3 linked regions of the Saccharomyces cerevisiae S288C genome follow. The gene in region 3 interacts genetically with the main gene of each other region. Each region holds a gene or a part of one and is shown on either strand. Other genes may lie near its edges. The genes, in order: YOR192C-C, RTS2 and TPH3.

What was found.
Region 1: mutations in TPH3 (region 3) and YOR192C-C together harm fitness more than expected from each alone (negative genetic interaction), as found in Saccharomyces cerevisiae (one large-scale study listed by BioGRID).
Region 2: mutations in TPH3 (region 3) and RTS2 together harm fitness more than expected from each alone (negative genetic interaction), as found in Saccharomyces cerevisiae (one large-scale study listed by BioGRID).

What each region holds. Positions count from the first base shown.
Region 1 is NC_001147.6:703,456-706,143, forward strand, and holds YOR192C-C (uncharacterized protein), read right to left. Parts: upstream 770-2,688; coding exon 533-769; downstream 1-532.
Region 2 is NC_001147.6:469,766-473,097, reverse strand, and holds RTS2 (Rts2p), read right to left. Parts: upstream 1,200-3,332; coding exon 501-1,199; downstream 1-500. Other genes in the region: BUD21 (Bud21p), read right to left, coding at 1-373; SKI7 (Ski7p), read left to right, coding at 1,478-3,332.
Region 3 is NC_001142.9:403,590-407,938, reverse strand, and holds TPH3 (Tph3p), read right to left. Parts: upstream 2,352-4,349; coding exon 666-2,351; downstream 1-665. Other genes in the region: chaperonin-containing T-complex subunit CCT3, read right to left, coding at 1-381; MPS3 (Mps3p), read right to left, coding at 2,994-4,349.

The sequences.
Region 1 (2,688 bases), on a different chromosome or scaffold from region 3:
TGGTAGGGTTTCCATTCTTTTCAAAGGCTGTAATATTAGGTATACAGAATATACTAGAAATTCTCCTCCAGGATATAGAAATCCCCAAAATGGAATCGGTAGTTCAACAAATAATATTACGATTATTTCTCAATCTTTATGCCATCTTCTTTCACCGCATGTAATAGTATACTAGTAACACTAATACTATTTAACAGATGACATTTTAGAGTTGGAGGAGAACTTCTAGTATATTCTGTATATATAATATTATAGCCTTTATCAAAAATGGAATCCAAACAATTATCTCAAAATTCACCAATATCTTACGTTGATTCTGTTGGAACGAGAGTAATTAATAGTGACATGAGTTGCTATGGTAACAATCTAATGCTTACATCGTATATTAATGTACACCTCGTATACGTTTAAGTGTGATTGTGCCTATTGCAGAAGGAATGTTAAACGAGAAGCTCAGACCATACTGAAGCTGTGTTAAAGACCTATTAGTTGAACATGATATGGTAGGTACATATATGAGGAATATGAGTCGTCACATCAATGTATAGTAACTACCGGAATCACTATTATATTGGTCATGATTAATATGACCAATCGGCGTGTGTTTTTGAAAAGTGGGTGAATTTTGAGATAATTGTTGGGATTCCATTTTTAATAAGGCAATAATATTAGGTATGTAGAATGTACTAGAAGTTCTCCTCAAGGATTTAGGAATCCATGAAAGGGAATCTGCAATTCTACACAATTCTATAAATATTATTATCATCATTTTATATGTTAATATTCATTGATCCTATTACATTATCAATCCTTGCGTTTCAGCTTCCACTAATTTAGATGACTATTTCTCATCATTTGCGTCATCTTCTAACACCGTATATGATAATATACTAGTAACGTAAATACTAGTTAGTAGATGATAGTTGATTTTTATTCCAACATACCACCCATAATGTAATAGATCTAATGAATCCATTTGTTAGTTAATAGTTTAAATGTTTTTATCGGAAGAGGTTTTGTCATCACATCAGCAATGTTCTTATTGGTCTCGATGTAGTATACGTATAAATTATTACCTGATACTTCATCTCTAAGTCTCATTGCCTTCGTGCCAAAAAATCTGTTTCTAAATTTCTCTTCATTTGTAGACTTAATTATACTGATCGTTGATCTACTATCAGTAAGTAAGCCTTTAATAATTGGTTTCTTGTTAAGTTCTTGCACAAGGTGACTGAGGTTATTCAATAGCGGTATAGCTTCACTGACTGCGTGTATTTCTGCTTCTGTAGTTGAAGTGCATGTTAACGAAGCCTTTGTCGACTTTCCTCCAATCACTTTTCCGTTGAGTAGGAAAATGTTACCAATTTGTGACTTGTAATATGGTTGGTTACCATATGAAGCATCGCTTATTGCGACTAGTTTATTATCTGGCTTGGTAGGTTTGTTTTTGTGCCATATTAATTGTTTATCTCTAGTGTCCCACATGAATTGTATTAACTCATATGTCATGTCTAAAACTTGCCTAGAGGGGAATAGTATATGTTGAGCAAGTGTGTTGATGTAGTATAGTAAGTCAAATCTAAATTTATATCCAACATATGAAGCTAGACCAATCAACTTTTGCATTTCATGCACTTTCTCTTTGTATTCATCTTCATCTATTTCTAGTTCATCCTGGTCTATATAATGACCTGGTTGACCTGGAGCTCTAAGTTTCTTTCCTTTTGGGTTCAAAGGTACGTTTAGTTTGGGTAATTTTTCTGTCAAGGATTTTTCCATACCTAATTTCATGTACTTGCTTCTTTGATATTTGATCTCTAATCCAAGTATGTCGTACTGAATTTCGTTATCACCTTCACCCAGATTTATTATCTTTGTATCGTATTGTTTCTTGAGTGTTGTTATGATTTTCTTATTTGCATTTAAGTCTTTGCTAAATAAAATCATGTCGTCAACGAATAAGCAAATTGTTACTTGACTATTCTTAAATACGCATGACCATCCGCGAACTTCTTGCATGTCGCAACAATTTATTAAATATGATTTAATGGTTTCATACCAGTTTGCACCACTTTGTTTCAAACCATAGAGTGATTTTCTCAAACGTAGTAATTTATCATTCAAACCTAAATGTGGTGGAGGTCTTATGTATAATTCTTCTTTGATATCAGCATATAAGTAAGCAGAGGATATGTCCAGCTGTGTGATATAATAGTCGTTGTCTAATGCGATTGACAGTGACGTCATCAGTGCATAGTGATGTACGGTATTGGATTGCATATCAGAATCATATGTATCGGGGTGTTGAATGTCGCCTCTTGCAACAAATCTAGCTTTGTGTGTACCATCACGTTTCTTGTTAAATATAAACATTGAGTTTATTACTTTTTTAGGATCTATGTCATTTCTATCATAATATTTGTTTGTATCCCAAGTGTTCATTTTCAATAGTTGGCTAATTTCTTTATGATAAGCTTCAACATATCTGTCTTTTTCTTTGTTGTCTTTATTATAAGTAATTGCTTCATCATATCTTAAGGTCGTTCGAACTGGTTTGATCGATTTCACTCCTTTTATTGCTGCAATTAAATTTATGCGTTTCTTCGATCTTGGTGGTTCCAGACTTCTCATATTCTTATTATTCCATGTGTCTCGGGATACCTCAATTTCAGTTTCATTATCTTCTAA
Region 2 (3,332 bases), on a different chromosome or scaffold from region 3:
CGTCCTTCTGATCTATATTTTTTAGCAATTCCTCAGGAAGCTCCGCAATTACTTCATCAGTGACCTCTGTCTCATTCACTGATTTCTTTTGCTTGGCGTATAATTCATTTTGCTTCCTTCTCTTGGACCGCAATTGTGATTGTTCCAGCCTTATAGCCTCCTCCCTCTGAGTGATCTGTGATTCTACCTCACTTTTCCCAGAGTGAAGCCCTTCTTCTTGTGGAGCATCATCATCATCACTTTCCTCATCACTACTTGAATGCACTTCCTTGTCCTTTTTTGATATTACCAGCACATCATCTTGTCTATCCGTGACAGCACTTGCGCTGGCTTGACTTTCATCGGCATCAAACTTGACGTGTCCATTACTCATTGTCTTACTTAATACGTGTATACGGGTAGTAACAGTTCAGGGTATCAATTCGTACTGCCTTCTAAACATATTTGGGCTTGTTCGAACAACTTCGCTAACCTCATCGCTTGAAAAGAAAAATTTTCAATCAACGGAACTTGATACCATCTTTCCGTGGAGGAACCTTCTTTTTCTTTTTATTTACCCGACCATTCCCGTGGAAGGTGACTTGAACACGTTTCAGAGTGCTATCCCCGCTAATTTCCGATTTCATCTCTGGTTGATATACCTTTTCAGTTTGTCGCTTAGCACGATTGAGTTGTCTTTTCAAAAGCTCGGCGGCTATGACTTCTTGCTCCTCTTGTTGACTTCGCAGCATTCCATCTTCAGAAGGTGATGATAAAGATGAGGGATGGATCCTGATAAGCAAAGGACCTTCAACGTTCTCAGATGTATCATCAATATCCATATCCACGTCTACCTTGCCCGCGCGGCCTAGGTACCGGACAAACTGCGTCAAAGAACGATGCATGGTGGCATTCATATGTACATGATCGCGATCTTGAACATACTCGTTGTATACTTTGTTAGCATCAATCCATTTTTCTCCGTGCCGCTGCTTCAATAACTGTAGAAATCCCTTTTCAAACTGGATATTGTAGCGCCTAGCGTCCTCAGCTGTCACTTGACTAATCTTCCTTAAATGAGATGGCGATTTGTTATGTGATTGAAATCCGTTTGCATCTTTACATTGCCTTTGGCATATTTGGCAGTAGTAACGGGTTTTCTGTAACCCACGACGAGCTCCCTGCTTGGACCAATATTTCGCACTATCATAATCTGCCATCGCTGTGATTTTCTACAATCAAACAACCCTGTGTTTTCGCTCTTTTTAGGACTTGTCAAGAAAAGAATGATGATACTGACTTTTCCATTTGATATTAATTTCAACTAGCGGAGTTTTTCCAGTTTTCAAAGTACAGGACAAAGTGTTGTGTAACCCGGACCAGATTTACATTGGTGTACTATAATATGTACTATAACAGATTGGAGGTATAAACCTAGAGACCCTTCTACAATACACGTACGAGGAGGTGGTCTTCGAAACTTACAGTACCACCTGACATGTCGTTATTAGAGCAATTAGCAAGAAAAAGAATAGAAAAATCTAAAGGCCTTTTAAGTGCGGACCAGTCTCATAGTACATCGAAAAGTGCATCCTTACTAGAAAGACTACATAAGAATAGAGAAACTAAAGATAACAATGCTGAGACAAAAAGGAAGGATCTGAAGACGCTACTTGCAAAAGACAAGGTAAAAAGAAGCGACTTTACCCCGAACCAGCATAGTGTTTCATTGAGTTTAAAGTTGTCTGCCTTAAAGAAGTCAAATAGTGATTTGGAGAAACAAGGAAAATCAGTGACATTAGACAGCAAAGAAAACGAACTCCCTACCAAAAGGAAATCGCCTGATGATAAACTCAACTTAGAAGAGTCATGGAAGGCTATTAAAGAAATGAACCATTACTGTTTCTTGAAAAACGATCCATGCATAAATCAAACCGACGATTTTGCGTTCACAAACTTTATCATAAAAGATAAAAAAAACTCGTTGAGTACATCAATACCGCTATCGTCGCAGAATTCATCATTTCTGTCCTTAAAAAAGCATAACAATGAGCTCCTTGGTATTTTTGTGCCTTGTAACCTGCCGAAAACAACTCGTAAAGTAGCCATTGAGAATTTCAATAGACCAAGTCCTGATGATATAATACAATCGGCCCAACTTAATGCTTTCAATGAAAAATTAGAAAACTTAAATATCAAATCTGTGCCCAAGGCCGAAAAAAAGGAACCAATTAACCTTCAAACACCACCTACTGAGTCGATTGATATTCATTCATTCATTGCCACCCATCCTCTGAATTTGACATGTTTGTTCCTCGGTGATACAAACGCAGGCAAATCCACTTTGCTTGGTCATCTTTTATATGATCTAAACGAAATTTCTATGTCATCAATGAGGGAACTACAAAAAAAAAGCAGTAATTTGGATCCTTCATCTTCAAATAGTTTTAAGGTCATTCTAGACAATACCAAAACAGAAAGAGAAAATGGATTTTCCATGTTTAAGAAAGTTATTCAGGTAGAAAATGATTTACTACCGCCATCATCAACCTTGACGCTTATAGACACTCCTGGTAGTATCAAATACTTCAATAAAGAAACTCTGAACTCAATTTTGACCTTTGATCCTGAAGTTTATGTATTGGTTATTGATTGCAATTATGACTCGTGGGAAAAATCATTAGATGGTCCAAATAATCAGATTTATGAAATTTTAAAAGTGATCTCTTATTTGAACAAGAATTCCGCATGCAAAAAGCACTTGATAATTCTTTTGAATAAGGCAGATCTAATTAGTTGGGATAAGCACCGACTAGAAATGATTCAGTCTGAGCTAAATTATGTGTTGAAGGAAAACTTTCAGTGGACAGACGCAGAATTCCAATTTATCCCGTGTTCGGGTTTATTAGGTTCGAATTTGAATAAAACTGAAAACATCACAAAATCTAAGTATAAGTCAGAATTTGACTCTATAAATTATGTTCCCGAATGGTATGAAGGTCCGACATTTTTTTCGCAACTATATCTATTGGTAGAGCATAATATGAACAAAATAGAAACAACTTTGGAAGAGCCATTTGTAGGCACAATACTGCAATCTTCTGTTCTTCAACCGATAGCGGAGATAAATTACGTGTCACTCAAAGTCTTGATCAACAGCGGATATATTCAATCAGGCCAGACAATTGAAATTCATACACAATATGAAGATTTTCATTACTATGGTATAGTTTCAAGAATGAAGAATTCAAAACAAATACTGGAGACTAACACAAAAAATAATATATCAGTCGGTTTGAACCCTGACATTTTAGAGGTTCTTGTTAAGATTCATAATACCGAAGACTTCACGA
Region 3 (4,349 bases):
TTTCTTCAAGGCTTGGATAATAATAACAGGGTGAATATTTTTTTCAATCAAATAAGGTGCACACTGAGCTAAAATCTCACCAGCTAGAATAATAACTGTTGTAGTCCCGTCACCAACCTCTTCGTCTTGAGTACGGGATAACTCCAACATTGATTTAGCTGCTGGATGTGCAACATCAATTTCCCTTAAAATAGCGTGGCCATCGTTAGTCAACACAAGACCGCCCATAGGATCCAATAACATCTTTAACATAGCTTTTGGACCTAAGCAAGTTCGAATGACATCGGCAACTGCCTTTGCAGCAGTGATATTGGAGATTTGGGCCTGACGACCGGTAGTTCTCTCTTGAGAAGCATTCATAAATACCACTGGAGCTTGCATTGTGGCTTATATCACTATTGTACTTGATGATTTTCAACGTATGATCACTCGATATTATCGATGCTTTTTTGATATAATGCTCTCTACTCACTTTATTGAGTGGCGATTTGCTATTTTTTTTTCTTCGCACCATGCGTCACGTTAAACGAAAAAGTTTAGTATTAGGATGGAAGTATATAATATCACATAAGATTATATCAGGGTATATTTGGCTATACAGAAACTGTACCACAAATATATACACTGTATGTAAGTTTTTGAGATGTGGCTATATATGCGAAGAACTATGCAATGGGCGAAGTACTTGCGACGATAGGACGTTCGCACATAGAACTTTTGTATTCATGGGCGTTTACTTGCAATTGATTCATCATATTAGTCGTTTCAGAACTAACATTGCTTTTATCACTCAATGAAAATTCCTTCACAGAATTATCCTTGTCACTCATGCAATTAAGTTTAGAGTGATCCCTCGTAGTATTATACATGCCCATTACATCACTAAAGGTCCTGAAGTTGAGTTCTGTGTTTCTCTTGGAGACTTTTGTCATTCTTTCTTGCAGGTAGCTAGAAAATCTTGACATAGTTAAAGCCATAGTATCGTCAGTATCTTTTTCTTTCAAAGGATTAAATTCCTGGGTCATCAAATGGGCAATCTCCTCTTCAGCAAAATAATCCACTGAGGGCAATTTAGGTAATCCAAACATTAACGAATTTATATCGGTTCTTTCTGTCTTGAATTGAACTGGACGCCCATAAAGTCTTGCACAATCCATCAAAGGAATAATGAACCTGATCATTGCTTCCAGGTGATGTACGCCATGATGGGGCAATGGCCTAATCAAAAGCCCATTTGTACGTGTAGTGAAGTTAGTTATAGGCTTTTTTGTTGATCTAGAAGTTAACGAACTTACATGGGAGCTATTTCTTCTGTGCCCTTTAGGTGAAAAGAAAGTTCTACTTTTTGGTGTAGTGTTAGGACTTTCATTATTCAATGCTGTCGAGCTGCTGTCACCACTGCCGTTGTTTGCACTACTATAGATGGATCCACTATCCACCACATCATTAAAGTCCGTATCACTGCAAAAGCGTACATTACCAACGAGCTTTATCATTTGCAACCCTTGAAAAAAGTCGTTCATATTTTTAGAAGGTTCTGCCGCATTGATGTTATAAAAGAAAATATCTTGAACGTACTCATTGTCAGGAATAAAAAAAACGCAGTTCTTGCTAGATGTGGATTTGTCATCTCTATAAAACCGTATTTGATACTTTCCTTTAGCATCATTGTCACTACTACTTTTAGAATTATTGGTTTTAGACACTTTATCAATATGACACCACACTTTCACCCAACCTTGACCATCAAGATAAACTTCACACCAATCCTTAAAATTGAACGGCGAGTTCAAAATGATATGCATATCAGACATTCTCAGCCCATAAGAGGAAATCACTGTGCCTGTCAAGGCCTTATATATAGAAATGAACTCAAAAATAGAAATCATACACAACCTTTTGAACTTCTCCAGTAAACCAAAATCGTTACATGTGATAGATAGTTGGCCATTATTGAATTGCAGGAACTCTCCAACGCTTGAAATTTCACATTGGTTTATGTTGGAAGGGGAATCTATGATGGCCACGTCTGCGACTTGTACAGAGGAATTTGTGATAATTATATGAGAGCCGAGCAAAGAAATTGACTCTGCTTCAAAAACATGTCCAGAAGAATCCTTAACATTCCATACAGCCTCAGCGTCGGAAGATTGGAAGTAAATCTTATTTGCGTGTGCTTGCAGAAGCTTAAATATAGGTTTAGTGATGCTGAAAAGCTCTGGTGGTAATTCGAGGAAGGACCGTGAACTTACTGGGTGGCTACTTAAATTGATGCTGGTAGCACTGCGGGAGAATTTGGGGAGCGAACTCTTGATATTAACAGGTTTTTTCAGCGAGTCCAAAATGCCCATTTTAATTTTTTTTGTCTCTTGCAATAGAGTCGTGTTGTGAAAAAAATCTAAAGGCGTTGAAGTTACGTTCTGAGATACTTTTAAAAGACCTGATGATGATAAATATGCCAAGAATATAGGAACTTAGTTAAGCCTTCTTGCTATGTTATTTGAAACTAAAAAAGATGTACGTCAATAATAAGTAAACGAAGAAAATGGAAACGAGAGCAAAAAAAAACTTGTGATAGAAATGAATGAAAAGGGCTGAGTATTGAAACAAAACCAAGTCCTTTATGCTATGTCTTAAAATTTCCCTTTTTTACCTTTTTTTTTTGCAGATATTTCTGATTTTCATTCAGCTTTTTAAGTAGGGAAAATTTCCCGCAAAACTGCACGAAAAAAGATATTCCGATTTCCAAACGACTGCAGTCTTAAATAGCACGAGGAAATTTCCATGAGCTGTTAATCGCAGAGCGTGAGTCCACGCATGGGAGCAACATCTGAATGCCGTGTGGCTGTGTTCAAGGTTGGAATTCAGAATAACGCCAGTACCGAAAGAGAGTGGTGAGTAGCTGATTAACTCTATGATTTAAAGGGAGTGCCGTCAATCTGCGCGATTTTCTGGGGGCCAGGGGGTTAGAACGTTTAATTTTTTATTGTCGTTTATTGATCTAGCTCATCTTGGCCAAATGATGGGACGTTAGAAGCGGGATGAAACTTGGTACTAGTAGATGAAGACGCGTAAGGAGGCTTTGATAGGAGAACTTTCCTCTTGCCTTCGTCGGTGTTCTGAGTGACACCATATTCTGGGGTGTCACCCAGTAAAACAGGGAACTCGTTATTTTCAATTATTTGCAAATCCTGCGGTGTCACTCCGTTGATGATAAATTTCCTCAGAGATATGAACTTTTTGTTCCCGTAGTTCTCGTCCACTTGAAAGACAATTGAGCGTACGAGTGGTTTTAACTGAATGAACCATGGGGGCAGATACATTTGTTGGCGTATTCTAGAATCTGTCAACCTGTACTCAAATTTTGCGATCTTGATGTAATTTCGGTCTCTCTTGTGATGCTGCCCGAAACCGTATTGATTTGCCAATGTCTGCAATGCTTTGATCTCTTTAGTCTGTGACAGTTTTACATATAATGAGATCAGTCTTGGTGCTGAGTTCATTATATGTAGGTTATTAGTAAAACGGCCATGCATGTACGAAATTTTGGTTAGATACAAAGGAGTTTTAAACCTTATGGCCCATGAACACCCAGGTTCGTTCTCACATTGCCAGTAAGTTGAGGAGCTTTGTTTGGAGTCGGTCAGTAATTCTATCGGCTGTACCCCACTGCCCTGTCTCCAGGTTGGTGAAGTTAAATGGTTCAATAGTTTAGTACCTTGAACATAAGTAGCAAAATCTAAATCGTCCTCCCATTGGTGTTGATTGGAATTGTAAATTTGGTGAATTAATCTTTTCATTAATATGCTCGAATACTGCTGTGGCACGTTAGAATAATCCTGTTGAACCTGCTGCTGCTGCTGCTGCTGCTGTGTCTCTAACCTATTTGTGATCTCTTCCCAAATCTCCTGTTTGTTAGATTGCAACCTTCTGTTCATTTCTTGGATGAAATAATCCTTATCGATATATTGCAACTCATTCGAAAGAATTTCCTTTACATAGCGATTCAAATCATACTCCCAACGACTTTCAGCGCTTCCAGCAGTACCAATGCCTGGAGACTCAATAACGTCTGAAATCAAAGCACTCAAATAATTGTGCAATTCAGGGATTATTAAAAGCGACGAAGAATTATTAATTACAACGGGTATTTCTTGAGGGAGGTGTGTATCCAACTGTTTTACCAGTTGATCTTGCCATTGAGTAACATTCTCGACCGTAAATTTGTGATTTCGCCTCTGTAACTCACTCATGGAAGTTGAAATTGTCTCAACCTGTTTTGTCAGCGAGTTAATGTCATTTTCAAAATTAACCAAATTTGAGGGTAAAAGTCTTTTAATATTCTTTTC